Drosophila melanogaster: one gene and its partner. The main gene of each other region encodes a partner of the protein of the gene in region 2 in a complex. Each region holds a gene or a part of one and is shown on either strand. Other genes may lie near its edges. A codon is read from its position in the direction of its gene.

What was found.
Region 1: the proteins of Dark (region 2) and Dronc are in contact, whole or in part, in a cryo-EM structure (PDB 8Y6Q), measured with the Drosophila melanogaster proteins. Residues at the interface, in NP_725637.1 of Drosophila melanogaster: Phe23 (codon at 6,526), Asp25 (codon at 6,532), Asn26 (codon at 6,535), Phe27 (codon at 6,538), Asp28 (codon at 6,541), Cys29 (codon at 6,544), Lys30 (codon at 6,547), Asp31 (codon at 6,550), Val32 (codon at 6,553), Gln33 (codon at 6,556), Leu61 (codon at 6,640), Val80 (codon at 6,697), Leu81 (codon at 6,700), Ile83 (codon at 6,706), Asn84 (codon at 6,709), Tyr85 (codon at 6,712), Lys86 (codon at 6,715), Phe87 (codon at 6,718), Arg656 (codon at 8,944), Lys694 (codon at 9,058), Gln696 (codon at 9,064), Leu697 (codon at 9,067); in NP_524017.1 of Drosophila melanogaster: Val39 (codon at 10,152), Gln40 (codon at 10,149), Gln41 (codon at 10,146), Gly42 (codon at 10,143), Ile43 (codon at 10,140), Leu44 (codon at 10,137), Thr45 (codon at 10,134), Val46 (codon at 10,131), Gln47 (codon at 10,128), Met48 (codon at 10,125), Leu49 (codon at 10,122), Arg50 (codon at 10,119), Asn51 (codon at 10,116), Asp54 (codon at 10,107), Lys58 (codon at 10,095), Phe60 (codon at 10,089), Gln81 (codon at 10,026), Arg82 (codon at 10,023), Thr85 (codon at 10,014), Leu89 (codon at 10,002).

The regions. Positions count from the first base shown.
Region 1 is NT_037436.4:9,965,323-9,979,153, reverse strand, and holds Dronc (death regulator Nedd2-like caspase), read right to left. Parts: upstream 10,676-13,831; 5' UTR 10,267-10,675; coding exon 9,820-10,266; intron 9,311-9,819; coding exon 8,405-9,310; 3' UTR 8,152-8,404; downstream 1-8,151. Other genes in the region: vnc (variable nurse cells), read right to left, coding at 5,288-5,878; CG42455 (uncharacterized protein), read right to left, coding at 5,903-6,060, 6,153-6,231; CG6674 (uncharacterized protein), read left to right, coding at 7,182-7,490, 7,552-7,944; CG6685 (uncharacterized protein), read left to right, coding at 10,860-11,049, 11,113-11,320, 11,374-11,467, 11,533-11,682. UniProt on the Drosophila melanogaster protein: Involved in the activation cascade of caspases responsible for apoptosis execution. Effector of steroid-mediated apoptosis during insect metamorphosis. Overexpression promotes programmed cell death.
Region 2 is NT_033778.4:17,014,942-17,031,491, forward strand, and holds Dark (Death-associated APAF1-related killer), read left to right. Parts: upstream 1-5,085; 5' UTR 5,086-5,300; intron 5,301-6,448; 5' UTR 6,449-6,459; coding exon 6,460-6,849; intron 6,850-6,970; coding exon 6,971-7,608; intron 7,609-7,661; coding exon 7,662-7,785; intron 7,786-7,848; coding exon 7,849-8,039; intron 8,040-8,143; coding exon 8,144-8,388; coding exon of another isoform or gene 8,389-8,396; exon of another isoform or gene 8,397-8,447; coding exon 8,448-8,637; intron 8,638-8,710; exon of another isoform or gene 8,711-8,756; coding exon 8,757-10,350; intron 10,351-10,411; exon of another isoform or gene 10,412-10,417; coding exon 10,418-10,537; exon of another isoform or gene 10,538-10,592; coding exon 10,593-10,739; exon of another isoform or gene 10,740-10,803; coding exon 10,804-11,487; 3' UTR 11,488-11,762; downstream 11,763-16,550. Other genes in the region: Ehbp1 (Eps15 homology domain containing protein-binding protein 1), read right to left, coding at 8-111; Paip1 (Poly(A) binding protein interacting protein 1), read right to left, coding at 2,025-2,858, 3,122-3,967; RhoGEF2 (Rho guanine nucleotide exchange factor 2), read left to right, coding at 14,055-14,080, 16,184-16,550.

The DNA of each region.
Region 1 (13,831 bases), on a different chromosome or scaffold from region 2:
ATTTTATTGCTCAACCTGGGTTCGTCCATTAACCGAAATGAGCGCAATTCAAAATAATATCCGAAGGACCCAACTGGGATGACAGCAGAAACTTTCCATCCCAGCAGGACATTGCTGCTGATTGTTTTGCAAAGATTCTGGGCTTCTGAGATTCGCACCCGGGATTTTCGGGCCTTCGTATGGGGATTCGTTCATCGGCAACTTTCGGTCGTCCAAAAATCATAAATCTTTTTAATTTCATTGATCAACTTTGGCCGGCCAAAAACTTTTGCCTGCCCCAAGGAAAGTTTCGCACTCGACTCCCCCAGGGGCATATTTTGCCTGACAATTAAATCGATGGCAGATAAATATTAAACTTAAACTTTCAATTCATTGCTGCAAAATTATGTGTTGCTCGAGCTGCTCGATTTTTTTTTTTTTGATTTTTGTTGTTTTTTTTTTCGCTCGCTTGATGGAGCCGCAATAAAAATCATCTTTTATGGAACAAGAAATCCGCAGGGGATGCAGGAAAACATGGCGGAACCGGAAAATAAATAAATGCCATCGCATAAACAAAGGAAGAATGGCGAATTGGGTGTAGTTGTGGCTCCTACGGTCCAGATAAAGAACCTTATAAATTGAAACAAAGTGGACAGTGATTGGAAAAATCAATGGGGCATGCGGACAGTCGAACCCCAAAAAAGAAACTCCTTGGCGGTAACTTGTGAAGTTGAAACTAATACGAAAGTAGTCAAGCTACAAACATAATAAGAAAAAATGCCAATCCATATATAATTTAAATGAAACTATTGTTTCAAATTAGTATTTTTAAGAATTTAGTCAGTAATCCCAAAAACTTTAACAATTGCCTTGAAAAGGTACACCATTCAGCCATTTACCGCTCCGCTTTTCTTTTTGCAAAAGCACAAAACCTAATAACCTTATACGTCTTGAAGGCATAAGGGTCAACTTTTAATGAACATGCCCCCTTCCTTAGTAAAAATTCAGATTTTACAGTTCGTGTCCTTTGCAGCAGCGTTTCAAGAACTTACATATTCGCACTCGTTAATAACTTTTCATGTTGTGGCAGCACAGCATCCTCGTTCCTTGTTTCTGTAAATAAGTTCTGAGAAAATGTTTGCGCAGTATGCAAAACTTTTCGATTGTGGCAATCGTTCCTTGGGCGCAGCTCACGTGCATTCTGGGAATCCGATTGCGGAGTTGATTTTGAAAACTTTATAAATGGAGCAAAATATGTAATGTGTAATGAGTATCTACGATATTCCTTTGAATCCAGCCAGCCGAAAACTATTGACAGCAATAAATGCATTGGGCTGCGATTTAAAGGATTTAAAAGAACGGTCCTTGCAATCGTCGCCATTGAAGAAGGATTTACATATTTAAATATACAATATGCACAGTGAGAATGATGGTTAAATGGCATTTCCATTCCATTCATTTACTGGAGTCGCCTTTTACGAGGGGTTGGCTCATTTAAAGAAATATTTAATTTCGAGTAAATGAATTATAAATGCAATTTGCTGGCAGCTCTATTTCTTGTTTTGCCGCCGCCTTACTTATGATGCGTCTTTGTCCTCCGATGGCCCAGTCGGAGAATTAATTACGCCGCTGAAAGTTGATTCCCGCCATCCCGACGGGGATGCGGATCCGGATGCGGATGCGGAAGCCCTTGTGCCAATGCGACCACAACTGACCCAGTTGTTTAATTGAATTGAAGCCATAAACACTTGGAGTAGAACGACCACAGCCGCACAAAACGAGAACGCGTCGGGAATGAAAAATGGCCACGGCCAGGAGCACTCGCTAAATAACCTTAATTAGTAGTGCGAGTGCGGCCATCAATCACCTTTGCTTGCCTGCGTCAGAGAGAGAGATGACCAGAGAGCCGGCCAGCGGAAACGGAAATGGCAAGCGGAAACGCCAACGGATGCCACGTGGCCATTGCTAAGCATTTTGACAGCTGCGCCTGTCGCCTATGCAACAAAACACAGATACATTGCTCTACAGCGGATCAATAGGCATTCAAGTCTTATTAACTTATTACTTAAACTATCCTACAAGCATCATGCAAAAGTTCTTTGAAATTGTGGTCTGGCTATGAAACAAGCTTATGGATAGAACAAATAAATAAGATTATATGTTTTAGAGAATGTTGATTTGCCTATGTATATCGGAATTTCTTCAAGACAATACTTTTCTTATTTGTATTCATGTTCTAAAAATTAAGGAAAGGAAAAAAAAATAGAAAGGAGGAAATTAATCAAATTGCTAATTTCATCAACGTGGCTAGAAAAAGCAGCATTAAAAAAAACAAAAGCAGATGCGGTACCCTGCGCTGCTCTGCAAGAAAGCTGGCGTTTTTCAGCGAGTGGCAAGCAAAGTTGTTGACATCTTGTGAGCCAACACGTACCGCCAGTCGGCAGCAACAAAAACACACAGAACAGCACACAAAAAGTAGTAAACACTTGACGGGAGCAGCAGAAACAACACGAACAAACAGCCAGTAGTGCCAAAGAGAAGGAAGGACCAGAACTGAAGCTACGGCAAATGTTTGCTTAAAAATGATGCGAACCCCTACGAAAGAACAAGAATTTCGAAATGGGATGGGTTTTTGGATGGTTTTCTTGGTGGGCGGGGTAGATTGGGGGACTGGCGTTTGGGGATCGGATGCTTCTGCTGCCACTGACAGATGCAAGACGCGTTGACAGTGACAAAGACAATGATGACGACGACGACGATGGTTATGTTTGGGGCTCATCATCAGCAGGGCGATGAGGGGATGTTGGGATGGAGGCCAGCATTTGGCATAATCCTGCTGACAAAATGTCATTACACCATCCACACATAGTGGAGTTGCCTTTTGAAGTTTTCGGCGAAGGCGGAAAAGGCACTGCAAACTTAAATAAATAAATATGCCTTCCCGCTGACAAGTGAGGAAAAGTTCGTACAGATAGCATGTGCGCTGAAGTCTGTGTATTTTCATATCAAGGGAAAATAAGTTTTCAAGAGACATTTGCTCAAATTACAGTCATATTTAAATAACCCGAGAAATTGTTGGCGTTACTTCTGGCATTCTTGGCAAATTACTGCGAATGGATTTTTTGTGAGTTACTTGCATAAATGTATAGAATATGATAAATGTGATACAGTACCGCATTATCTATCTGTTTTCATTTAAACTTTATGTTATCTAGCCTAACACGTTATATATTTTTTTTCAATATAATTTGATGGAAACTTTGCAATAATTGGTGTAATGTAGCTGGTACCTTTTACTGCAAAGTGCCCGCCTAAATCCTGTTGACTTACCACAATATTTTTCGAAATAGTCCTTTTGCCGTAGTCTGGAGTCTGTTGCAGCTGCAGTTATTCCACTTTCCCCGAGGATCGCCAGTCACGCGAGTGGCCCAGTCATTGACAAATGGCCAGAGAACTTCTATTGTTTTATTTTTATTATATTTTACTTCTCTTCATTTTCAGAGCACTTTTCAATTGAGCTTTCTCCCGCTTCCCCGCGGAATTTGGCCTAGTTTGTTGTCTGCGATTTGGTGTTGTTTTCCAAATACATATTTATGTATGTATGTATGTGGGTTTTCCCCTGGCTTTGGTAGGCCTGCAGTTTTGAGTTACTTGGCACTTGGCTAATGCTTTTGTCTGCTTTTCTTCTGCTTTACTATGCTTTTCTTATGCTTTTTTCATGCTTTTCTGCCAGACGGGCGACGCAGTGTCTTTGCTTGCACTTGAGGAACCGTTATCTGGGTGGTGTACGAGTGTGCGAGTGTGTGTGCGCTTTTTTGTGTGGTTGAATTAGCGAGTGAGACACGAACTTTTGACCCCGTTTCGACAATAACAACACGAGAAGAGCAGAGGCTTGGCTTCCATTCTCCGGCTTTTTGAACCACTGGCCGGCTTTTTGGCTTTTCAACACCAAAAGCGCTTACATTTATGTCCGTGACTGTTTTGAGGGTTCTGAGGATTGCCCGAATGAAGGGTTTGCTGAAGTGCCCTGGCTTTTATTGATTTAGCAAGGCGTTATAGCCCGCAAATATAATACAAATCAGGCTCTCATTCGATTGGGGTTATCAATTGGCTTTAACTTTCGCATCAATAAAGTATGTTTACCGTTGGAACTTTAAGCACTTTCCCTCAACACATTCACAGTTCCATATGTTTAACGGCGCTTTTCACTAACGAATTGTTTATTGTTTGTTGTTTCCGCGTTTTTTATTGATTTGGCAGGGCGTTTTTTCCACAATCATAATAAATGCCAGTCATTTCCCGTTAGTTTTTTATAACCCATCAGTAGCAGTAGCACTACTTCCTTCGTTCTTCCTCTTCTCCCGTTGTAAAGAGTGGTTTTACCGTTAGGGTTTTATTAGCACTTTTCACTACAATAGCTGAAGTTCCGATTTGGGTTTTGCGCACGTTTTACGTAGCTAGCCGAAAACTGATAAAACATCCGCATACATGTTGTTTTTGCTCAGCCAGCGCCTCACGAACTGAGTTTAAGAACGGCGAAATACGCGAAAAGCCAGCATCTCAGCTCAGCTGTGATTGCGGTACTTTCGCTCTCTCTCTTTGGCGCCATCCGGAAAAGTACCGTACTCCACGTGGCTAGCGAACAGCTGTTGCCGCAGATGTTCCACTGAGCATGCGCAAAAGGAGCTCGCCGCGGGAAACTGGGAAATTAGAAAGCTCCGTTACTGGAAAATCGGTTTAGTGGGAACGGTTGCTAGCTATTTTCATATGCCATAAAAGTTTCTCCACCAACACGACACCTACAACTTGATGGCACCCAAAAGTTGGCGCGAAAGTCAACACTTCGCACATAAAGACATCTTTCCGCTTGGCCAACTTTTCGGGCCAACAAACTTTTCACATTACAAAAAGCGCACATTTTTTAACCCACATTTGGCATAAATTTTCGCATTACTTGGGTTAACCAGAGCTCTAGCACAAAAGAATGGTAGATATTATAAATTATTTGGGGAGTTTAGAAAACCACTCTCTTCTAAAACTCTACTCAAAATAAAATCAAAAAATTCGTCTTAATAGGTGTTTAATGCATTTATGCATTTTAGATTGGCAATTAGAAACAGAAACCGTAAATAGTATTATTATTACTGATTTAATGGCCTTCAAACCCTTTATTGTTAAAAACATTATCTTTTTGTCATTACTTTTGTTTTAATTTTAGTTACGTTTTTTATTGTTAAATAATTACAAAACCCTAATGCACAAAAATGCAAAAAACGTCGAAGCCAGCAAGCGCCGGCAGCGAAAGTGTTCAGCAACAATGGCCATCGTGACCGCTGTGGTTGTGCGAGTGGCCATGTCCGCCGGATCTGTGGACCGCCTTCTCCTCCTCCTCGCCTGACTGCTTCGCAGCCTTGGCCTGATCCTCATCGGCAAACTCGCTGAGGTCGCGTCGCATGGCATATGCATCCTCGCCATCGGCATAGTACTTGGGCTCCACCTCGATGATCTTGAACTTGAGGGCGTTGGTGTAGAGGTTCAGGGCAGCCCGATTGCTCTTCCTCACGTGCAGGGACACGTACTGGGCATTGAAGCACTCGACCATGGCCTGGGAGGCCTGATTCATGAGCTTCTGGGCCAGGCCCAATCGCCGATAGGAACGCTTGACCGCTAGCGAGGTGATGTGCCCATGGCGGCTCTCCTCATTGGGCTCCGGCTCCTCCATCTTGGCCAGGACATAGCCCACAATGGCGCCCTTGTCGTCAACGGCCACGTAGCTAAGCTGAGGCCAGGTTAGTCCGTGGTAAAAGTAGTACTTCATCTGGTAGTTTTCGGGTAGACACAGCAGATTGCAGTGCTGCATGGTCATTAGGTCTTCCGGTTTTGCGCAGCGGATGTTCATGGTGAGGCTGTGTAGATGTGCTTCCTAGTCTCGGCGAGCTTTCCTGGCTCTGCCGTGGTGGTGTGGCTGTTGATTCTGATGATCCCAAGCAAGTGGTTGCTGATCCTCCGGCTCCTCCTGACCCAACAGCTCTCGAACCAGACGAAATTTCGATAGAAACGCCTTCCAGATGAGGAACCAGCCTGCAAAATAGACAAATTTCAATATGACTTGTTGCTCGGATCGTAGAAAATTGTTTCCATTATAACGTGATCGTCTGCGGGCGCCTGCTTACCCAACAAAATAATTGCTGCGACGATACTAACAGAGGCTAATATGGTGAAAATGAAAGCCAAGCCCGTTTGCAGGGACATTCTAACGGGGTAGTACGAAATCAGGAAACTATAAGCATTAAACTATAAATGAAATTTGAAAATAATAATTAAAACTACTTGTCAAAGGGTTTAATTTTAGTTTCCAGCAGCGAATTAAATGTTTTTTCTCCCTATTTGGATTGCTATCACAATAAAGAACAGCTGTCCTCTGGGTGTGGCCGTTATTCAACACTGAATGAAACCAGGGATACAATTTCTTGTGCTCTTTTTGTGGTAATAAGTGGGATATTTGCAAAAATTAACAAAAGCACAAATAAAAATATTGCAATCAAATATATTTATATTCTTCTGGCAATCTAAAACTTCTGCTTTTCTAGTTTTAACATTTATTTAAAAGACCCTGGCACAAGTGACTTTAGTTGCCACCAAAAACCACATGGGGTTAGAAGTTCCACTAAGCTGTCTGAAAGGCCTTTCAATAGAAGCTGTTCGATGAATCGTCCTTTGAGACAGGCACACTATACACATGGTCACGCCTTTGGGTTAGTTTTATTCAATATCCACCTGGCTGTTTAATTTATTTATATTCGCGAATGAGCACACTTCTTCCACACTAAGTTTATACACCGGCACCAGTCTGACCAGAGTTTGCGTGGGCCGAAATTCCAAGATATCTTAGTTTGCAGAGAATACCAATCATACTGCTACTATATTGAAATAGAATGGGATAAATTCAAATCTGTTAATTTACGTTTAAAAAGTATTTTAACCCTATGATGTCAGTTAACTCACATAGTATAGACTAATCCATAGAAAAGGAAATGGTTTAATAGCTGCCTTAATAGTCTAAAAATACTGCACGTTACTAAAATACTAGATGAAAATACAAAACGGTAACTGTGAAAACAGCTGATTTGCAGCAAACAAAGTTACCTCTGCAAACACAACGCATTTAAGCAAATGCCATTTGTGCAGTTTAACTAAGTAAAATGCAGGAATTTTCAGCCAAACGAGACGCTCTTTTCGCATGTCTCGACGATGCGAGCAAAGAGTTGCGGGGAACTGCCTTGGATCAGAGCAAGGCCAAGGCGTTTTCCATCAATGCCCTCGATCGAGGAAACAAATCCGGAAACGAATCCGGACAGGTGATGAACTACCGCCAGGGTCGCAGCATTGTTACTGGCCTCGATGCGGAGGATGGAAGACTGCGACGAATGCGCGGCAAGGAGAGCATTTTCAAGAAGCCCGAACTCCCCATTGGACGCTGTTTGAAGCCAAGAAAAACGCCAGATTACCAGGTGACAGACCATCCCTCTGCAATTAGTTGTCCCCACCCTAAACGTTTGACCTACTCTCTAGGTAAACCCGCACAAATGGAAGAAGTACTCCCTGTCTGATGTGGACATTTCCGAACAGAGCAACTCCGCCGCCGCCTTGTCCTTCCTGCGACAAATGGATGCACAGCGCGAGGCTGAGGGCGTCGATAACGAATCTCCACCTACAGATGGCAAGATCGAGTTCAAGAGGACCAGCAAACTCAGCCGCAAGCTCAAGAGCCTCAAACAGCAGGAGGTGGATGATGTGGAGCTGGATAAGCCGCAGTTAAGAGGTTCCAAGCTGGTGATGCCTGAGTATGTAATTGGCCAAAAGCCGCATAAGCCAAAGAAATGCAAAACCAAATCGGAACAGAGCCGTGCAGCGGGAAAACTACAACTGTCCCACTTGGCGGAGGAGGATGAGCAGGATGATTAGGTTAAAATGTATGATCCTAAGATTATATTATATAATAATTAGTGTCCCAATGAAATTTTAGAAATGTAAATAGATTTTAATTATATACAAACTGCGGTTTGTTGTGAAATATCATCGTTTATTTTGTAAGTGTACACACTCAAAAATCAGACTGGAAAATTGCTTTACATTTTGCCTAAATGTTCGATTTCAAAAATCTGGCTGTGTATATACTGGAACTCTGTATTATAATATTTGTAGATTTCTGGCAGTTATCACATAAATTACATAATTTCGTACCTTTAAATGAGGTATGCAATACGTATTAGAAGAATACTTGAATGAGTATTTGTTACAATATAAACATTTTATAGCACGCGAGCACAGAACACATAATCTAAAAGACATACTAAATGCGACGATAAGAACATAAATGCGGTTAAAAATGCATCCGGAATGATAAAATGTCCAGTGGCGGCAACTATTCGTTGAAAAACCCGGGATTGAAGTAGAGTTTCTTATTAAAGCCAAGATTATCATAGGCACCTGTCTGCATGGAACCCTTCTTGGTGCGCTTATTACCCACGGCTTCGCTCGTCTTCTTTAGGATATCCTCAAGGTCTGTGTCGTGGGCATGATCGGCCATCACTTGGCAAAACTTCTGGATGTACCAGCTGCCCGTGTCGAGATCGCGGTGGGTAACATAGCCCGGCGTATTAGCATAGCAGACCAGAGTGTCGGCAAGACTTGGCACATTGGTGCTCGGGCTGGGTATGCCCTCCGTCTGGGTGTCAGGCCACTTCTCCTCTTGCGCCGTATACACTGGCTCCATGAGATTGCCTTGATTCTTTGGATGGCCCAAATCATATTCATCGCCGCGGCAAAAGGGAAACATAAGCACCTTCGGCTTGTTCACCAAATAAGGACATTTGGCCGTCTGGAAATGGTCCTTGATCTTCTGCATATCGACCACAGATCCATCGCAAAACTCCACCTTCTCTTTTCCCTCCACACTGTTGCCGTGTGTCATCAGTACCATTACGAAACACTCGGTATTCTGCACATACGACGAGGAGGTCACCATTGTCAGAAGTTTAAAGAACTGATCCTGATTCACGTTCCCATAGGGGAAAATCGTAAAATTCAGTTCTTGAAACAAGTGTATCAACGACTTGCTGTCCTTTTCGGCTCCGATCCGTCGACGGTTTTGATCCGGATAGTCCATTATGTTAACCATTAGCAAAACGCCTCGGTTGAAACGTGATTGCATCTTATATGTGCCCAATATGGCACTATCCCCACCATGTATCTTTTTCGATTTTTTTACCTCGGGACCGTCAACGACACCCACATAAGGGGTGAGTGCTCCCAGCGGCTCATTCCGGAGCTTTGGTAGGAGAGAGAAAGAAAGAACAAATTACAATAAAGATAAGATTTTCAATATATATATTATATTTTCATTGCACGGTTAATGTGGCAGACAAAGAAGTAATCAACATTCGTGCTATATAAACACAGCTGCCAGCAATATTGCGATAAGATTCTGGTTAAAAACAAATCCTACTAAAAGAATAATTGGGATAGGTAAGTAGAATGGATGTGATTCATGCTTCCAAAAAAAATGGAAAACAAGAATCTCATACACGAACTAACTTCTGAAAGAGAAGCAAATAATACTGTGCACATGTACCAAAGTAGTATTCATCATTGAGTCCATTTACAATTCTTAAAGATACCTTTTCTAATCTCATTCCAATAGGAATAACTCAATTAACAAACCTAAAAAAAAAAATGCAAATAAATTGTGCCATAAACCGGTTTTTTGTAGAAATCAGGGTCAATGACCTGAGCTGCAATTTCACCATCAAAGCTTTCGTATGATTTTATTTTCATTACCTTGCTAACGCAGGGTCCTTCGGAGGCTTCGGGTGAGGGTGTGTCCACAATATCGGCCGACTTCCGGCTGGTTCTCCGTTCGTTTAGCGAGATAAAGGGTGGCCTTGAATCGGACTCATCGACGGATTCCAATAGAACGGCCGCATCCAGACAATTGATATTGCGCAGTGCATTGATCAGCAGGTTATAGGCGGTGGGACCACGCTGGGTGATCTTCAATAGGAGCCTACGATGCTGCTCCACACGCACATCCTTCTCGTCCATGTTGAATGGCTTGCCATTGAGATCCTGCGTATTTCTTAGCATCTGAACGGTTAGGATGCCCTGTTGCACGCACTCCATGGCCAGACGCTCGTAGTTCGTCCATTCAACCAGTATATTCAGATTCTTGCGTATATGCTCGCGATGCCTCTTCGGCATTCCAATCTCGAGCTCCGGCGGCTGCATTCCGGATATGGCTTCCACGCGTTCCGGTGACTCCGCTTATTGGGCGCGCCAAGGATGGCTGCCGTGATCAGTCTCCAATTGGCAGTGGTATTGGCAGTGAATCACCCGTCTCCAAGGTTTTCCCGGGAATGATTTCGTTTATCGCTACTTGTCGATTCTTTGTCTCCGCTTTGTTGTTGTCGTCGTTGTTTTTGTTTTGCGACTTTCAAGAAAGGGGCACAAATCGGCGGCCCTGCTGGTGTCCTTATTTTTCCAAAAGTAAATTAACTAGTCTATATATTGCACTAGATGATCCTAGCAAGGATCGGGGATCTTCGAATAGGATTTCTTTCGAAACAAAAGGACCAACGAGCGTTTCGCGCCGCCAAACTCGCCACTAAACTAATAAATGAAACTTTGGGATTGGTGTGGCTGCTTGTGGGTGCGCCATTTTAACCAGAGAACGCGTCCGGGATAAATCCATGACATGAACCGTCTCCATGTTCCACTTATTCCACCATTCCTTCATTGCCGCATCAAATGATTCAATTTAATACTAAATACCAAATACCATATGGGGTCAGCCTAACAAACCGTAAACATAAACAAAAGAAATGGAGGAGGAGCAACAATTTACGCCGGAACCGAAAAACTCCGCGCAAAAAGGCGCAGAAAAGCCTGCAAGGATTCCGAGAGAGGTGAAAGTTAAGCTGCAAAGGCAACTAAACAGACTGGGCTACTCACAGCAAATCCTGCTCGAAGCAGCCAAGCAGCAAAATCAAAATAATTCGAATGGCATTCTCCGTGAGTTTTCTTAAAACATGCATAATGCAATAAAAGTACATTGTCCCCCAATCCCTTTTCTAGAGTATGTGGCCGACATGATTGGCAAGGGCGAGGAAATGGTGAAAAACTGCGACTCCGTTAGCTTAAACAACATTAACCAGTGGCTGGAGCTCATGAAAAGTTCGCAACTCGCTGAACTCTGCGAATTCGAAGCAGCCGTCGTTGTGAACTCCATAATCCAAAATGAGACAAAGCCATCGCCAACGGAACTGAACGGCATTGACTTGAAGTAGGAATGGTTTTGATAAACTACATTTGTATTTAGCATTGTGGTACTTTCAGTGAGGCCTACAAGTTTCTGGAAAACGCTTTGATGGGCCAGCCGCAAAAGAAGATGAGCGATGCGACCAAAGAATTTTTGTCCAAGGAAATTGAGGTGAGCAGAAGGCTGCATCAACTTTCCAAAATAGTTAAAAAAAAAGGAAATCCTAATGCCAACAGCTGCTCATAGAGAAGGCAAACACCGACGAATCCGACGATGTGGCACGCAGCATGGGGCAGCGTTTATTTGACCACCAGTTTTTGGATTACATGGAACAGCGGCAAAAGTGCAGTTTGGATCCACTATTCCTGGACGAGAAGCTAACGTAGAGGCTGTTATTGAGTAATTGAGGAATTTAGCACACAGAGCATTTATTCATTTCCACACATTTATTAAACATTTAAATTCAATTGTTTGTTACATACGTACATTGTCACACGCATTTGCACCGCTCCATTATCATCAATCAAATCATCGGATCCCACGTTTATACATTATTAGTATTACTATGCCAAATGCCCCAACCTTTGTACGTATTAATATTTGATAATTACACTCTTAATTAAGTACTTGACTATAAACAGTTTTAGCACATTTAAAATCTAGAATTCCTTTAGTTGTACACAATTACTTCGAGTAGTGTAAGAAAAAGTTGTGGGTCTTTGGCCTTTGGATTCTCTCAATTGCATAACATTTATTGTGCATGATTGTTTTCAATTGTTGGGGCTGCCAATTAGCATTGCATAGACTAGTGTAGAGATAGGTAGTTTAGTTTTAGGTTTTGCTACGATTAGCTTTGTTTTAAACTTTAAGAGGCATAAAAACAGTTGAGTGCTGCTTGACTCCCATAGCATCACAATAGAATCACAAGAGACAGAGTTGGCTTCATTTCAATTCAATTCATTAGAGGATCTAGGATGGTACACTTACGATAACATAACGTACATACGATCAGAATTACATACAAATTCGAATACAAATATAATACCCTTTTGTTTTAGGCGCAGTTACTAGCACTAAAACGATCTTCACACAATCAAATGCAATTCAATAATGTACATAATATAACTCTTAAATGTTCAGTCCAGTTTGAGCTTTTGGTTTTCCCCTTTTTCTTTGATTTAGATTTTGTTTTTAATTTTTTCATTTTTAAATTTTTTTTTTTGTTTCTTGTGTTTAGGTTTCTGTCTTGTCGCGTAAACATTAATTAAAATTAAGTAAATCTAATTATATATACGTACGATTAAACGCTAGTAAACCATATCGATATGCTTGTCTAAGGTGAAATAAATAAACAACAAATTCGGACCGAACAAAATGCAAAGCAATTTCAGGTGCATGGCAAGGATATGCTGGAGTTTCAGGATCAAATTAGCTGGCATTAACCAAACGCAGATCCAACGAATCGAACAAACACAACGAACGACAACAACGTAACTTAAAATTGCAATTGTTTGTTAGTTGATAGTTGATATAGAATTAGTTTTAGTGTCGCTTGAATTTTGATTGTCCCGTTCCCGTTCGTGTAATTCATACTTTTATTCATATCATTCGAGTATGTGTATATAAAGTAGAGTGGTTTTTAATGTGTCCTAGATAGAGTTCGTCCTGCTGCTGCTGCTGCGTTTTGTATACATATATAAATTCATATTTTTTTTCGGGTTTCACTTCTACTCCGCTAAACATAGCACAACAATAATGATAATAATCGCTTTAATTGCCGTTTACGTAATGAATACATCTATGACACTGGTGAGTCTTCACTATATGTATAAAGTTTCAAGAGTTTACCATTACCAATTACCACACTTTTACGCATATAGCTGCCCAACTATACAAATTGACTATAAATGTGAGACTGAGATTGAGTTTGAGATTGCCTTCGGGTACAGCGGCTTCAGTAATTACTGGCTCTGGTTCTATTTCGGATCGGTGGACCTTGGATTGGATTCGTGTATATTCACCTTAGTAGTAGTTTTGGGTGTTTTTTTGGAGCTATCTATTACGTTTGATCATAGTGTGTATATATTGAATGAATTGAATGATGGGTATAGAATATACATAGATTTATGTGGGATTCATCACTATAAAGCGCAGGCGGGATCACTCGAGGTTCTTGGCCAAAAAATAAACGTTCCTTTCGTATTCGTGGTTATTCATATTGATTACTTTTTTGTTTGTTTTTTTTTTTTTTTTGATTGCGATTGCTGTAAAGCTCTGTGATAAGTTTGGTTTCTATGGTGCTAGGTACGTTGTATGTAGGTACACGATTCTCTCTTAGTTGATTGCATATATTTATCATCGATGTTTGCAAAATAAATAGGCAATATATGTTTGCTTCTGTATCTTTTGCAGTGTGATATGGTTTAAACTATATATATATGATAAACTATGATGATATAGGCGAGTTCAATGACACATAGAGGTATATATTTGACATATTTTTGTATTTTTTTTTTATTTTTTGCCTAGCGTAAA
Region 2 (16,550 bases):
CACTTACCACTTGGCGGTGGTTTCCAGATGCAGATCGTGGTACGATGCGGTGAACTGGAATTTGGCGGCTCGCTTGAAATTGCGCTGCAATCGCTTCCATACGCTGGCCATCTTAGCGGGTGTGGATCGTAGGGCTCTTTAATTTGGATATCTTTGGGGGTGTTGGGGTTTGTATAAAAATTAGACCCGTTTGGATCGTCGTTGCTTTGCTTTTTCAGTAATCTATTGTGTCATTTTTACCAGCTAACTTCTGCAGGCGATCTGGATGCGGAATGAAAAACAATATAGACGCCTGGTTATATGCTATAAATTTCTGGGTCAGTTTACAAGGTTCATTCATAAGGGAACCAAAAAAAAAAGGCAGACCCTCTTAAAATCGAAAGTTAGAGTGTGCAAGGCGGAAAACACTATTGTAAATTTATTTTTGAATTTTGTTGCTTTGTTGTCTGCAAAAACACTCAAAAAACACACGCACACACACGCGCGCACAGTTCTTGTGTTGTGTTGTATTTGTTTTTCTTTTTCGCTGTTTTGTGACCTTTAGTTGTCACTTTGCCTTTGTCTTTCTTGAATTTCTTATAAATACTCGAGATTTACAGCTTATTGCTAGTTTTGTTTTTATCTATTATTGTTCCTGCGGGCGTGTGTTTGTGTGTTTGCGTCTCACTGGCAAATTTTTAAGCGAAATTTGTATACATAGATGATGCCTAGACGTACATACAAATACATAAATAGCACCATTATGACGTCACTTTTGTTTTGGTCTCCAATTTCGTTTCAAGGTCCTTCGATTTGGGGACACTACGCCGAACATTTGCGCGTTTATTACGAGCACTCGCTGCCGTTTAGCTTTTATCACATCACAGCGAATAATTTAATTCACACCGATTTACACTTCGATCCGATTTTTTTTTACTGTCGCGAGCAGATTGAGTAGAGGTGGACAAACTGCAATAGCTCCAGACTATCGATAAGCCAAACATATGCGCTTGTTGTTTTAGGCGGTGAGGTAATATCGATTGTTTTTGTTGAAAAGGTTTGTTAGTTCTTCCAGCTATAAAGCAACTTTAAAGCACTCATGTATTTGTTTTAAAAACATCACAAACAGCAGCAATAGATCAACACAATACCTTTAGTCATAGCATCCGAAAGGTTCGAAACCCCGCTTGCACTTATCATATACTCGACTCTTTCGACATAATTAGAAATAACGAAAATATAACCGCTTTTAGTTCGAAAACCGAACAGGCTTCTTTCCCGTTTCAATAAAATCGCTCAATTTGATTTTGTTTTAAACGCAATTCGATAAATTTTATTTATAATTAAATCATGGATTCGTTAACATTAATTACAATTATTTAAAAATTAGGCGTGGCTGCTGTCGTTTTTTTTTCTTTCGTTTTTCGATTTGTATGATCAAGAGAATGTCGTTTAATTGAATGTGAAATTTGCGATTTTGTTTTTTTCTGCCGTTTATGGGTCTGCATATGTGCCATGCAAGTGTGTGGGTGCGCATATGAGTACGAGTCTTTGAGTGCAGCTGCGTGTGTGTCTGTATCAGCGGTTCACTTCGGCGTGGCAGTGGCTATAGTTATATATATATATATTTCTTTTACCGTTTACGGTCGAAATCCTGGCTTCGCGACTATTCAAATTTATTTAATTCAAGTTAAAAAGTACAAACTGAATGAATGAACTGGCTATCATGGCAGAGAGTTAGTTATCAGAGATACAAAACGGGCGTATCACACAAAAAGCGTTCGAACAAAGTCATTAACACATGTCATATTATGATAGGTGCATGAAACACGAAGATATCACAAACAATTTGCTATCAATAATTTAAAAGATAATCACAATTGGTTCTGAACCAAGCAACTGCAATCATCGATCCTACAACCGAGAATTTGTTGGAAATGCTCCACTCCTACGCTCTCCACCATCCCTCCTATACCCAAGCTATATCCTGCCAACGACCACGCCCTCATGAATCCGTCCAATGCAACACAGTTCTCCACAGTCGTCTAGGTCTTCTGTTTGCCCTGCTTACAGAACTCCTTGTATGCCCGCTCGGTTTCCTCGTCCATTTCCGCGTCGATTTCTAGGTCGGCACCATCCCCATCAAAGTCATCATCACCATCATTATCCCCGCCGGCCAGAAAATCGGTCTCCTCGGCAGTCAATTCGCGGCCATCAGGTCCGTAGAAGACGGGCTCATCGCTCAGGCGCGGCGGCTCCTTCACTGTATCTTCATCGTCTCCCAGAGCGTTCGACACCTTCCTGCCCCAGTTGTTCTGCTGCAGGGCAATTACACTTGCCGCCATGGGGTACTTGCCCGGCGACTTCAGCTCGATCGCCTGCAGGGCGGTGATGATCTCCTGTATGTCCTTGGGGCAATCGGCTGTCAGATCATATCCAGCCAGCTTGAGGGTCTGGCACAGGCAGCGAACATTTTCGTTGCTCTCGCTGGCCAGCAGCTTACTCAGCGAATATACAATATTCACAGCGATCAACTGGATGCGCGAGTCGTCGTCGCCGCGCAACTGCATGTACAGCTCGGCCAGAAAGAGGGCAGTCTCGCGAACCTTCTGCTGCTCGTTGGAGCGCATGTACTTGGTCACTTCCTCCTGGTGGTAGTCAAGCTTGCACTTGAGCAGCGTGTGGAACAGCGAGTCCGGCTTCGAGTTGAGCATGTGCAGCAGGTTGTACAGCTTGGCGCCCATGTACCGGAAGTTCGGCTGCTCGATCGACTTCTCGAAGATGTCCTCCATGGCGATGGAGAGCACGAATTGGTTGTTCTCCATGCCATCGAAAATGGTCAGGAAGCGTGATGCAATCGAATCAAATTGGCCCGGATTCTGGATGGAGATCATTAATATGTCTGGTTAGTAGGAAATTTAGGTTTAAAACTTAAGATTAAGTTTGACTAGACTGAAATGTTTCAGCTGATTTTTTTTTTTACTTTCGAGCATAAATATATTGATTTTAAATATATTGTTATATTTAAAGAAAATATTAAGCTGACACCTATTAAAATTGATTAAATAATCATAAAACACTAAAAATATAAATCAAAGGAAGCCCATAATTGCCCTGATAGCTTATCAATCGAAATTCTCACCTGGTTAAGGCAATGTATGACTGTATCAAGATACTCCAGTGCTATGGTGGCCATGTCCGGCTGCGAAGAGTTCGAGGACGACGAGGAGGCCGCCGCAGTCGAAGTGGATGGCTGCGGTTGTTGATTCTGGTTCTGAATATACTGCTGCTGCTGTTGGTTGTGCTGCTGGTGGTGCGGCTGCTGCGGCTGGTTGTGCTGTGTTTGCTGTACGATTTGTTGGAATGAGTTATTCAAGTGGAAGTGCCGTTGAAACTTGGCGTGTTGGTTGTGTGGCTGATGCTGCTGCTGGTGTTGTTGGTGGTGGTGTGTGTTTTGGTGTACCTGCTGCTGCTGATAGTAGTTGCCGGCTGAGCCCTGCTGGCTATTCAGGTGCAGGCGATTCTGCACGGAATTCGTTAGCTTCTGCATATCGTTGTTGAACTTCTGCTGATGATTGTGATGATGGTTGTAGTGCGGCTGCTGGTGGTGCTGCTGATGGTGATGCTTAAAACCATTCACATAGCGCGGCTGCTGTTGGCCATAAGGAGCTCCTCCACCGGCTCCACCAGCCTGCTGGTATTGCTGATGTCGCGACTGCTGCTGCGGGGGAGCAGCTCCTCGAGGGATGAAAATTGTGGCCGTGGCCGACAGATTGGACGCATCGGACAGAGTCTGCGCCTGGGGTTGCATGGCCTGCACAGGAAAATTGCCAACCACCTGACCGTACGCCTGCGCTCCGGCGTACTCCCCAAAGAGATGCGCCTGCTGATCCAGTCCCGGCATGGCCACTCCGCCTGCTCCGCCGACATTCGGCCGGCGCAGCTGCTCATACTGATCGTCGGGCTGGAAGGGGGCGCGGCATGACATTGCGTTGGACTCGAAAACTGCAAATCACCAATCAGAGTAAAGTAATGGATGAGGATTAGTTTATCTAAATAAAGACAAATCACATTCGCCAGGGCATTCCCCAGCGTGGTTACGTTTGCAAGCCTCGGGACGCCGATTCAGACAGAGTTGCGGACATTTTGTTTTCCTACCACTGGTTTGTCGCCTTTCTTTTTTTATCTCTTTATTTTCCGCAGCCGGGTCAGTCGGTGTTTCCCATTGAAATGGACACGACCTATCCGACTCTACCGTGTGGTGGTGGGGAAATTGCAATGCCTACCTTAAATTTGTTCAAGTTGAATGTGTACGTCGCCGATTTTCGTTTTTGTTGCTTCGTTTTGCTGCGTCGTCACTTTCTCGTCTGCGTCTCTGATGCGCTGCTCCGAATTTCGTGTCTGATTTTGGGTGGGATTGCACGTTTTACTGGCCGTAAAAAATGTTAAATTGGACGGTGCGGGGGCGGGACGGCCGGTGACCGCTGAAAGGGAATGTAAAATGCTACGCACCTTTAATTTACACTGCGGCAATTTGTTAAAATTTATTATTTCGCCTTTTCACCGTCGGTGTGGTCGCAAGTGGCTAGTGAAAACTTACCTGGCAGTGAATACCTTTGTTGTCTGTGATATATCGATACGGCTCAATATGGTCACACTTTAAATAAAGTAATAAGTGCTAAACCGTTTTTTAGAAAATAAGCATTAGATAAACTACTTCATTTCGTACAAGAAAATCATGGTATTATTATAATCTTAGATCTAGTTGGAAAAGAGATATATATTTGGCATATATATATAAGGTGGCATATATATAACAAATTAATAACTAATAACAAATAATATATATTAAAATATAATAAGAAATTCTTAATATATAAATAAGAATTTATTATTATATATTATTTGTTGTCGGTTCAAAAATTAATTTAATCGTAATGTAAATTGTATTTCTTATTAAGAATATACAAATTCTCAATATCTTAAATCACGCAATATAATATCGAATTACAATTCAGATTACGATTAAAATCATTTTTGAACCACTTGACAACCCTATATATAATTCGATATTATTTCCCTCGCGTAAAACGGTCACACAGTCGAATAAATTCCGTTTTGTTATTTTTTGAGTACTACTCAATGAGTAGCATAGATTAGTACATTATTTATATTTTTTCAAGCCTTTAGTGTTTCGCTTAGAATGTGCTAGAACAATGTGAACAAGCCGGAGCAACTATATATTAAGGATAAAGTGCAATACTTACACATACAACAAAATACGAATAAGGACGACGATTTGTTAAAAATAAACGGCGAGCGTAAGTAAATATGCGTGCAGGTGAAAGCTTATGTACCTGTAGTGCTTTCGTTTTCTGTGCTCTACAAGTCCATTTGTTTAATTCTTCCATTGGGCCTTGTGCCTCCCCGTCAATCACAAATCCAAGGCACTGTGTGTGTGACTGAAACAATTGCATGCGAGAGCACTTACACACAAACATAACAAGTTCATTCACACGGCAAACTCAGTGACGTATCTTCTCTCTGCCTTTACGCGCTTATCTAACTGGTGATTAATAATTCGATCCGATTTTGGTTCTACGACATTGACGAGCGGAGGAGAACAAAAATGCAACCGGAATTGCCTTTTTCGATGGTTGCACCGCCAGCTCACGTATTCCTAGCTATTTAGAGGCGATCTCGTTCGCGTCCTTGTCGATTAGTTGTGAAATTACCGATGATCCAGTCGATCTCAGCTTGCAGATAAGGGATCTCATAGATCCATGGTATCGCATTTCTCTCCTCGAGAAGCCGTCTACGGTGCATTCAAATAAAGTGGGCCAAGCTTGGCGCCAAAAATTCCGCCATATGTATGTACACATATACATGCATACATATGTGCATTTGAAATGAACATTTTTTTGTTTTGATTTGTTTTTTTCGATTTTCTTGATTCTGTTCGCTAAGAGTTGCACCTGAGTTTTTATTGGTTGGTCCAACCAAATTTATGATTTGTGTGATTGCCCGACCAAGGAGAAGACAGGGATTCGGATTTGATTCAGCTTTATTATTAGAACACTCGATCTGGTTGCGTTAGTGTGAACGTGGAGAGCTTAGGAACAATAAAAGCTAGAAGGTTGATATTAAGAATACAGATTCTAGAGATACAGACGCAGCCCAAGTTTATTCACCCATGTTGCCACGCCTACCCTAACGCCCACAAACTGCTCAAAACTGTCACGGCCACACTTTTGAACCGTTTTAATTTTTATTTCTATTTATTTTGTTTTCGAATTTCTATGAGATAAAAATTTCCAGCAGAGTAACGGGTATCTAATAGCCGGAAAACTCGACTATAACATTTTCTTTTGTAATTAATGAAAATACCACAAAAAATAACCCAATGCCAATAAATTATTTCTAACATAGCTATAAAATTTAGTTACTATATAAATATTTACATATGTAGGTAACACGAATATGGATTTTGAAACTGGGGAGCACCAATACCAATACAAGGACATTTTGTCCGTGTTTGAGGATGCATTCGTCGACAACTTCGACTGCAAGGATGTCCAGGATATGCCGAAATCAATATTGTCCAAGGAGGAAATTGACCACATCATCATGTCTAAGGATGCAGTCAGCGGCACACTTCGCTTGTTTTGGACACTGCTCTCTAAACAGGAGGAAATGGTCCAGAAATTTGTGGAGGAAGTTCTCAGGATCAACTACAAATTCTTAATGTCGCCAATCAAGACTGAGCAACGGCAGCCCAGCATGATGACCAGGATGTACATCGAGCAGAGAGATCGTCTGTACAACGACAACCAAGTATTCGCCAAGTACAATGTGAGCCGCCTGCAACCGGTATGATAATCTCCCATTCGAAAAAAAAAACAATCAAAGAAGTCCAACGTACGAAACCGAAAAACAATTTTACTCTGTGGAATTGTTATCTAACCATACTACAATACTTTTTATATTTCAGTATCTGAAGCTAAGGCAGGCTCTTCTAGAACTTCGCCCAGCGAAAAATGTATTGATTGATGGCGTCTTGGGATCGGGAAAGACTTGGGTAGCCTTGGATGTGTGCCTATCGTACAAAGTGCAATGCAAGATGGACTTTAAGATCTTCTGGCTTAACTTGAAGAACTGCAATAGCCCGGAGACCGTGCTAGAGATGCTGCAGAAATTACTTTACCAGATCGATCCCAACTGGACAAGTCGTAGCGATCATAGCAGTAACATAAAGCTTCGAATCCACAGCATTCAGGCGGAACTGCGACGACTGCTCAAGAGCAAGCCATACGAGAATTGTCTCCTTGTTCTGCTTAATGTGCAAAATGCCAAGGCTTGGAATGCTTTCAACTTGAGCTGCAAGATATTGCTAACCACACGGTTCAAGCAGGTCACTGACTTTCTTTCGGCAGCTACCACAACTCATATTTCATTGGATCATCATTCGATGACGCTTACGCCGGATGAGGTTAAGTCTTTGCTTCTAAAGTACCTCGACTGTCGACCACAGGATTTGCCCCGGGAAGTTTTGACAACGAATCCCCGCAGACTAAGCATTATTGCTGAGAGCATTCGGGATGGTCTGGCGACCTGGGACAACTGGAAACAGTATGTGGATTATGAGTGTTCACACTGAATAAATACATAATTTTTTTTTGTAGTGTAAACTGTGATAAGCTGACGACCATCATTGAGAGCTCTCTAAACGTTCTGGAGCCCGCTGAATATAGAAAAATGTTTGATAGACTGTCAGTTTTCCCTCCATCAGCCCACATACCCACTATTGTAAGTGAGCACTGCACTTTACGGCATACATCTACTAATCGTTATCAACTTCCTGTTGAACAGCTCCTATCGTTGATATGGTTTGATGTTATCAAATCCGATGTAATGGTAGTGGTTAACAAACTTCATAAATATTCATTGGTGGAGAAGCAACCAAAAGAGTCAACCATAAGTATACCCAGCATATACTTGGAGTTGAAAGTCAAGCTTGAAAACGAATATGCACTTCATCGGAGTATCGTAGATCACTATAAGTATGTTCCTAGCCCTTTTCTTGATATCTTGAATTTTTGCTAAAATGTATTAACCTTAAGCCACGAGTAAGCCGTATACTGAGTGATTTTAACCTTTTTGTTAGTATCCCAAAAACATTCGATTCCGACGACTTGATACCGCCTTACCTGGACCAATACTTCTATAGCCACATCGGTCATCATCTAAAAAACATTGAGCACCCCGAACGGATGACTCTCTTTCGCATGGTCTTTTTAGATTTCCGTTTTCTAGAACAAAAGATTCGGCACGATTCAACTGCTTGGAATGCCAGTGGATCGATCTTGAACACGCTACAGCAGCTGAAGTTCTACAAGCCATATATTTGCGGTACGTAAATTTCTGAATCATTTGAAACAAAAAAAAAATGTAATCTTTTTTTCATGCAGACAATGACCCAAAGTATGAGCGCTTAGTCAACGCTATTCTGGATTTTTTGCCAAAGATTGAGGAAAATCTTATTTGTTCAAAGTATACGGACCTGCTTAGGATTGCCCTGATGGCCGAGGATGAGGCGATTTTTGAAGAAGCCCATAAACAAGTGCAGCGCTTTGACGATCGGGTTTGGTTTACTAACCAGTAAGTACTTACCAGCTATTGACTAATCAAACAAACAGAGCTGTCATTTTTAGTAATAATGAAATGTATATATATTAAAGTTACTTTATTATTATTATTTCACTTTTTCCTTTTATCAGCGGTCGTTTCCACCAGCACCGTCAGATTATAAACCTGGGTGATAATGAGGGGCGCCATGCTGTCTACCTTCACAACGACTTTTGCTTGATAGCGCTGGCCAGCGGGCAGATCCTGCTAACCGATGTTTCGCTGGAGGGAGAGGACACCTATTTGCTAAGGGACGAGAGCGACAGCAGTGACATTCTGCGTATGGCGGTATTTAACCAACAGAAGCACTTGATCACCTTGCACTGCAACGGCAGCGTAAAACTTTGGTCCCTGTGGCCCGATTGTCCAGGAAGGCGCCACAGTGGTGGTAGCAAGCAGCAGCTAGTCAATAGCGTGGTTAAACGCTTTATAGGGAGCTATGCAAATCTGAAAATTGTTGCTTTCTATTTAAATGAAGACGCCGGATTGCCAGAGGCCAACATCCAACTGCATGTGGCATTCATCAATGGTGATGTGAGTATTTTGAATTGGGACGAACAAGATCAGGAGTTCAAACTGTCGCACGTGCCTGTTTTGAAAACGATGCAGTCGGGAATACGGTGTTTCGTTCAGGTTTTAAAGCGATATTACGTGGTCTGCACCTCAAATTGCACACTTACTGTATGGGATTTGACCAACGGTTCCAGCAATACGCTGGAACTACATGTTTTTAATGTCGAAAACGACACGCCGTTGGCCTTAGATGTATTTGACGAAAGGAGTAAGACCGCCACCGTGTTGCTGATTTTTAAGTACAGCGTATGGCGGCTCAATTTTTTGCCAGGTCTTTCGGTTAGTTTGCAATCGGAGGCAGTGCAACTGCCAGAAGGAAGTTTCATCACCTGCGGAAAGCGTTCGACTGACGGACGTTACCTACTGCTGGGCACGTCCGAGGGACTTATTGTGTATGATCTGAAAATCTCTGATCCCGTGCTACGCAGCAATGTCAGCGAACATATAGAGTGTGTGGATATATACGAGCTGTTTGATCCTGTCTATAAGTACATTGTTTTGTGCGGCGCTAAGGGAAAACAGGTGGTCCATGTGCACACATTGCGCTCTGTAAGCGGCTCGAATTCACATCAAAACAGGGAAATCGCCTGGGTTCACAGTGCAGATGAGATAAGCGTGATGACAAAGGCTTGCTTGGAGCCTAATGTCTATCTGCGTTCTCTGATGGACATGACCAGAGAGCGGACGCAACTTCTGGCTGTGGACTCCAAGGAGCGCATTCACCTAATTAAACCGGCCATTTCTAGAATTTCCGAATGGTCCACAATCACACCCACTCATGCTGCCAGTAACTGTAAGATAAATGCCATATCCGCCTTTAACGACGAACAGATTTTCGTTGGCTATGTGGACGGAGTGATAATAGATGTTATTCATGATACAGCGCTACCTCAGCAGTTTATAGAGGAGCCCATTGATTACCTCAAACAGGTCAGTCCCAACATTCTGGTGGCGTCGGCACACAGTGCCCAGAAGACTGTGATATTCCAGCTGGAAAAGATAGATCCGCTGCAACCCAATGACCAGTGGCCATTGATGATGGATGTTAGTACCAAGTACGCGTCCTTGCAGGAAGGACAGTATATCATTTTGTTTTCCGACCACGGAGTCTGTGTGAGTGTTCTTAATTGAAGTTTATGCGAGTAAAAGTGCAGTATTTGATTTCAATATTTACCAACAGCATCTGGATATAGCTAACCCATCTGCATTCGTGAAACCAAAGGATTCGGAGGAATACATTGTCGGCTTTGATCTAAAGAACAGTCTTCTCTTTCTGGCCTACGAAAACAACATCATCGATGTGGGTTTGCTAAACATAATATCATTAAACAATTATCAATTATTTCCAACGACAGGTATTCCGTTTAATATTCAGCTGTAACCAACTAAGGTACGAACAGATTTGCGAAGAAGAGATCGCCCAGAAGGCCAAGATCAGCTATTTGGTAGCCACGGATGATGGTACCATGTTGGCTATGGGTTTCGAAAATGGCACTTTAGAGGTATACATACGTCTTACAAATTCGTTTCATAATTATTTCCTGCTAATTATACATTTCCCAACAGCTCTTTGCCGTTGAAAACAGAAAAGTTCAACTGATCTACAGCATTGAAGAGGTCCACGAGCACTGCATCCGGCAATTGCTATTCTCGCCATGTAAGTTGCTCCTGATCAGCTGCGCGGAGCAGCTGTGCTTCTGGAATGTGACGCACATGCGCAACAATCAATTGGAGCGCGAGCAAAAACGGCGGCGCAGTCGACGCCATAAGCAGCACAGTGTTACACAAGAGGATGCTGTGGATGCGGCGCCCATTGCAGCGGACATCGATGTAGATGTGACATTCGTTGCCGACGAGTTTCATCCGGTGAACCGAGGGACTGCGGAACTGTGGCGGAATAAGCGCGGCAATGCCATCCGTCCGGAACTCCTGGCCTGCGTTAAATTTGTGGGAAATGAAGCTCGTCAGTTCTTCACAGACGCCCACTTCTCCCACTTTTATGCCATAGATGACGAGGGTGTCTACTACCATCTGCAGTTGCTGGAGTTAAGCAGACTTCAACCTCCACCTGACCCAGTTACGTTGGATATTGCCAATCAGTATGAAGACTTAAAAAATCTTCGAATTCTCGACAGCCCACTTATGCAGGATTCGGATAGCGAGGGTGCTGATGTAGTTGGCAACCTGGTTCTGGAGAAGAACGGCGGAGTGGCGAGGGCGACACCAATTCTGGAGGAGGCCAGTTCATGACGCCAGAAGTGCGTCCCTAGGCGGCGCACGAAACAGGAAAGTCCAAACTACAACATGGCATTTATAGGATTACTGCTCTACTACCTGATGGTTTTGCTCTTCTACCTCCTGGGTCCGGATTTGTCCTAGGCAAACATTAGTTGTTGGCGCTTACATTTGCGAATGTATGCAGCTAACCAAGTATGATATCTCAGAGGGCGGTGGGTGCGTTGCCCTGCCTTTGTTTGTCAACGCGAGTAACCGCCACCAAATAAACGACATTTCACGAAAAACACAGAACGCGGTTTTGTTGTCTGCTCTTTGTGCTGTCCGTATGTATGTATGCATGCATGTCTGTGTGGGTGGTTGTGCTGTGCGTTTGTTTTGATTTCTGCCAGGCACGCCAGATCAAGTGTTGCAAAAGCATTGGTCCCGGGACAGTGCTGCTAAGTTCGTGTATGGATATCAGTGTTGCGGTCCAATAAATAGGTACGTATCTGGATTGTGGCTCGTCTACTTCTAAGCTGACTTAAATTAATAAAAAGGCTTTGGCCTCAATGTTTGCATTTTGGTTTTATTAAAAAGTTCAAGTCAAGTTTGGGCTATAATTTTTATAAGCTAAGATTTACACACATTGCCTTAATGAACACACGTACGAAATATATTAAGAAGCATTTAAAACAATGAATAAAAACCAATAGCTAACTTGTATCATCGGCAAGGTACCTTGTTTGTACCAGTTTTAGGTACTGAATTCCGTACCGAACTAAAGCCCTTTTCAACACTGGCAGATATGCGCTCTTTCTCGTCATTTCATTCCAATTTTCAAGCTGAAAAGAAAAGAACGTCGTGTGCGTGTTGATGGCGCGATAAGTGAAAAAAATAAAAACATTTTTCGTGTCTTTATGGAATACAATACGAGTGCGTTTTAAGTAAGTGCGTGGCGAAAGTGGCGAAGCAGAGAAAGAATGATGCGCAACTCGCTACGCGTGAGCTCACTGCAGCAACAAAAGCAATAAATAAAAAAAGTGACTACATGCATTCCGCGCACCCACACACTGGCGTAAAATTCATACATATTTAAGTGCATTTGTGCACGCTCGTCAATGGCAAAATCGCGAGCTTGCAACTGCCAGGAAATATTGTACGCAAATTTGTCTAAAAATGATCTCTAACCCATCGCACGCAGACAGACGCAGCGCGCTTATAGGGGCATCGAATGTATGACGGCATATGTGTATTTATTTTCCACACTCGCCCATCGGTGGCAGTGAGTGTTAGTGAGCGACGCGCGTGTGTGAGTGCGTCGAGTGCTGAACTCTTGAACTGCAGTACATGGCTTTAATTCGATTTTAGGGATGTGCGGCTTGACGGAGCGGGAAGCGATCGAATTAATGAGTAAATGATAAACAACTGGACGCTTTCCGAGGCTTCGAATCCCTTGTTTTTCTCTAACAAGTGGCTTGCGGCAGCCATATTGTTTTGCCTTTGCGTTTGCGGCGATGATCGCACTCGCACCCCCACACACACTCAGTCAGTCAGTCAGTCCAGTTTGTGTGTATACATATTTATTCAATTAAATATTTGCGTTTAATTAAAAAGGAGTGAAACTGCAAGAATTGATTTATTTAGGTAAACAAACAGTGAGATCAGTGCAAATTCAAAGAAAGAGAGGGAGTCTTTGTTTTTCTTTTTGGGTTTTCGTCACGCTAATTGAACACAAGCGATTAATTGAACAATCAGCTGTTCTAATGGAAAATACGCAAATCTGGAAAGGATCGCTGGAATTTTCCTGCTTGTGTGTCCGCTCTGACCCATTAGTATAGCATTAGTATTTCAATTTTTCGGCCAAAAACTTGTTTTCCCCCAACCCCAAGTCGTCATCCATTAAATGTTTCGTGAAAACTAGTCAGCAAAAAGCACAACAATAAAACCAGCAACAACTGCTGCCTGCGAGTGACAGAGAAAGCAAGAGATTACGAGAGAGAGTGAGAGAGAACGAGCGCGGCGAGAGAGCCATAGGCATTGGAATATGTATGGCTTGCGCGTGAGTGTGTGGGTGTGCTGTTCAGTTATCTGTGTTGGAATAAAAACAATGAAATTGCAAGGAGATTGCTGCCTGCATTTGAACCCTCTCCGATCCGCCCCATCCCCCATAACCCTTCACCACCCACTCAAAAAAAAAAAAAAAAAATGCAAACAAATATTTTAATGTACATGCATTAATGCCCGAAATGTCTTCAAACGAATTTTGTGTGCCCACAGGTTTAAGTGAAAAGTAGCAGTGCAAAATATATATACACATATCAAAACCCATTGGAATAGTGCAACCAAAAAATCATAAAACAGAACTAAAGCAACGAAAATCGAGGCAATTAAATCACTTCTGGATTCATTTCGGCCCGTTTTTACTAGCTAATTTAAAAATAGCTGCCGAAAGCATTCCGCAACCACTTCTGGTGACTGGCCCCACACCAATGCGAACAATACTCCACGGGATCCTCCGACTTCGAGTGGCTTACGCATGCCTTTGAATTTGCATCTTCGCACCCGCACAGCAGCCAGCAAAAGCCATCGCAGGAAACCCTATGGATGACCCATCAATCAAAAAACGGTGAGTTCAACTGCTCCACTGTCTCCATGCGCTACAATTTCCCCACTTTCCACTTTCCCACTGGTTAAATTGCTCGCATTGCGATAAGAATTTATCTTTTGTCCTCGACAGACTTAATAATTGTTATTTTCGTTCTTATTCGCAAGCAACAGTCGATTATACACATACTAATAAATATACCAAATATACATCATAGAGGCAGGTTTAATGCAAATTTCAAAGGCAGTGTCAACTGGTTGTGGGAATTGAATAATTTTAATGAAATCTCGAAGAAGAAGAAGATATTAGTCACACAAAAAGTTAAAGCTCTTATTATATCAAATCGGAAGAATTTTTACTCATAAAAGAAGCTTTCACACATTCTTGACCTAAGTGCTTATATTAACATATTAGGGCTACCCTTAAGAACTAGCAACTTATGTAAGATCGTTGCCTAAATAGTGTAGCAGCCTTTAAGAATCCTCGAAATTATATTAAAATAATAGGTATTTTACTACATTTTAAATAGTTCTTAAGCCAGTTACAGATGATTTAACTGTGCATTAGATCACCGATCAACTTTTGTAAGCAATTACTAATTCATTTGACCCGTGATTAGTCAGCAAACGTTGTTTGAAAATAGCCAATTGACGAGGTGAAACTTTGCGCCGTCTCACAGTTCTGAAACGCACTGTGTTTGCTGATTGTTTATACCAATAGTTCCCCCAAGCTTGGGGTTGTTTTTGTGCGGTTTCGACTGCCAAACGGATGACTTAATACATATATACGCTCACCAACTTAGGGAGCGGCCAGTTTTCACATTTTACCATTTATTTCTTTTATTGCCACCTAGGGAAGTTTTAGCCCAAATAGATTGGCGAAACCAGTGACTTTCTAAGCATGCTTGTGTGTGCATTTGGTGGTGGTGTCTTAACCACGAATTGTATAATATACCTATGCAAAATGATTTAAATCTATTAACAGCTCACCACCACTGGTGTTGTCGTCTGATTTGTGGGCCTTAACAGGTTTTATGCCAGCCCGTCAACGGGCTGCAGCAAGATTTCCTCAAAATTAGGCAGCTAAATTTAGACAGAAAGAGAATTCACTTGGATCAAACGGAGAGACATGCTATTGACATGGGCCAATCAGTCAAAAAAGTTAATGTAAACATTTGATTTTTGGAGGTCTTGCCTGCCCGCCCGGCTGTTATGGAAATAACTCATCATAATGATGAATTCACCAGGCGGGAAATGAGCTTTTATTATATTCCGGTATATGAACGGGTCCGAAGGTGGTACACACTGTATACTGGGACATACATATGTACATATGTATGTTTATCCATTCCATTCACATGCAAAATGATCAAATAAACGGCAATTAAAGTGTATCTATTCTTCTGGCTGATTTAATTTTAGCTCAATTAAAAGAGACCCACCAGCGACGACAAATCGCTTGGCTTTGGCTTTGGCCGTGACTTTCGTTACATGTTTGTCGCATTCACAGCGAGGTCTTGATTAGCCACTAATCTAGCTATCTGCTCTTTAAAACCCAGCATACCACATGGGAATCGTTGGCGAAGAGCAGAAGCAGTTCCGCCATGAAATTATTCAGCATTGATTACCTCTCATAGATGATTGAGCTGGCAATCCGCTGGTTCTATTCAATGCCTGAAGTCTAGTATTTTAAAGGGTATACAAACTAACTAGCTAATCAACCATCATGGTTTAGTAAAGGAACAATAAAAATGAATTAATTGTAACCACAGAGACGGTAGTCACCAAATCAGTGTGTATAAAAAGGCGATAAAAGGTTTTACAAGATTAGTAAAATGGTATTGGTGACAACTAATCTGAGTAAATGAAGATAAAGATTTGATAGATAACGACGGATAGAAAATTAGTCACTCAAAGCGAAGACTTTAAAACAATGAAATATCCACAGCGCTATTTCATATTGAAAAAATTGTTGCTTTTCTGCTGCCAGATATCAAGATGGAGTTCATATTATGCGGGCAGGGTTTTAATTACACTTGAGCTTACTGAATTAATAATAATTATTATTATAATAATGAATAAATAAGAGTTTTGAATAAACTAAATGTATATTTTGTTCCGTCAGGTTACTAGATTTATATACTGACGAACATGAATACGATGAGGTTCAAGAGATACCAGAAGAGTCAAGCATTCAGCCCCCGGAGACATCAACGAGCCATACCAGCACAAACGGATCCAGCCACTCAGGCCCTGGAACTGCAACTGGACCAGGAGCGACATCTGCAGGCCCGTCAGCGGGTGCGCCACAGTCACCAGTAATTGTTGTGGACTCGGTTCCCGAGCTGCCAGCGCCCAAGCAGAAATCTGTTAAGAACTCGAAGAGCAAACAGAAGCAAAAGCAGTTGGCGAACAAATCGAAGATTCCACGATCTCCTTCGTTGGCGAGCAGCCTGAGTAGTCTGGCCAGCAGCCTTAGTGGTCATAGGGAT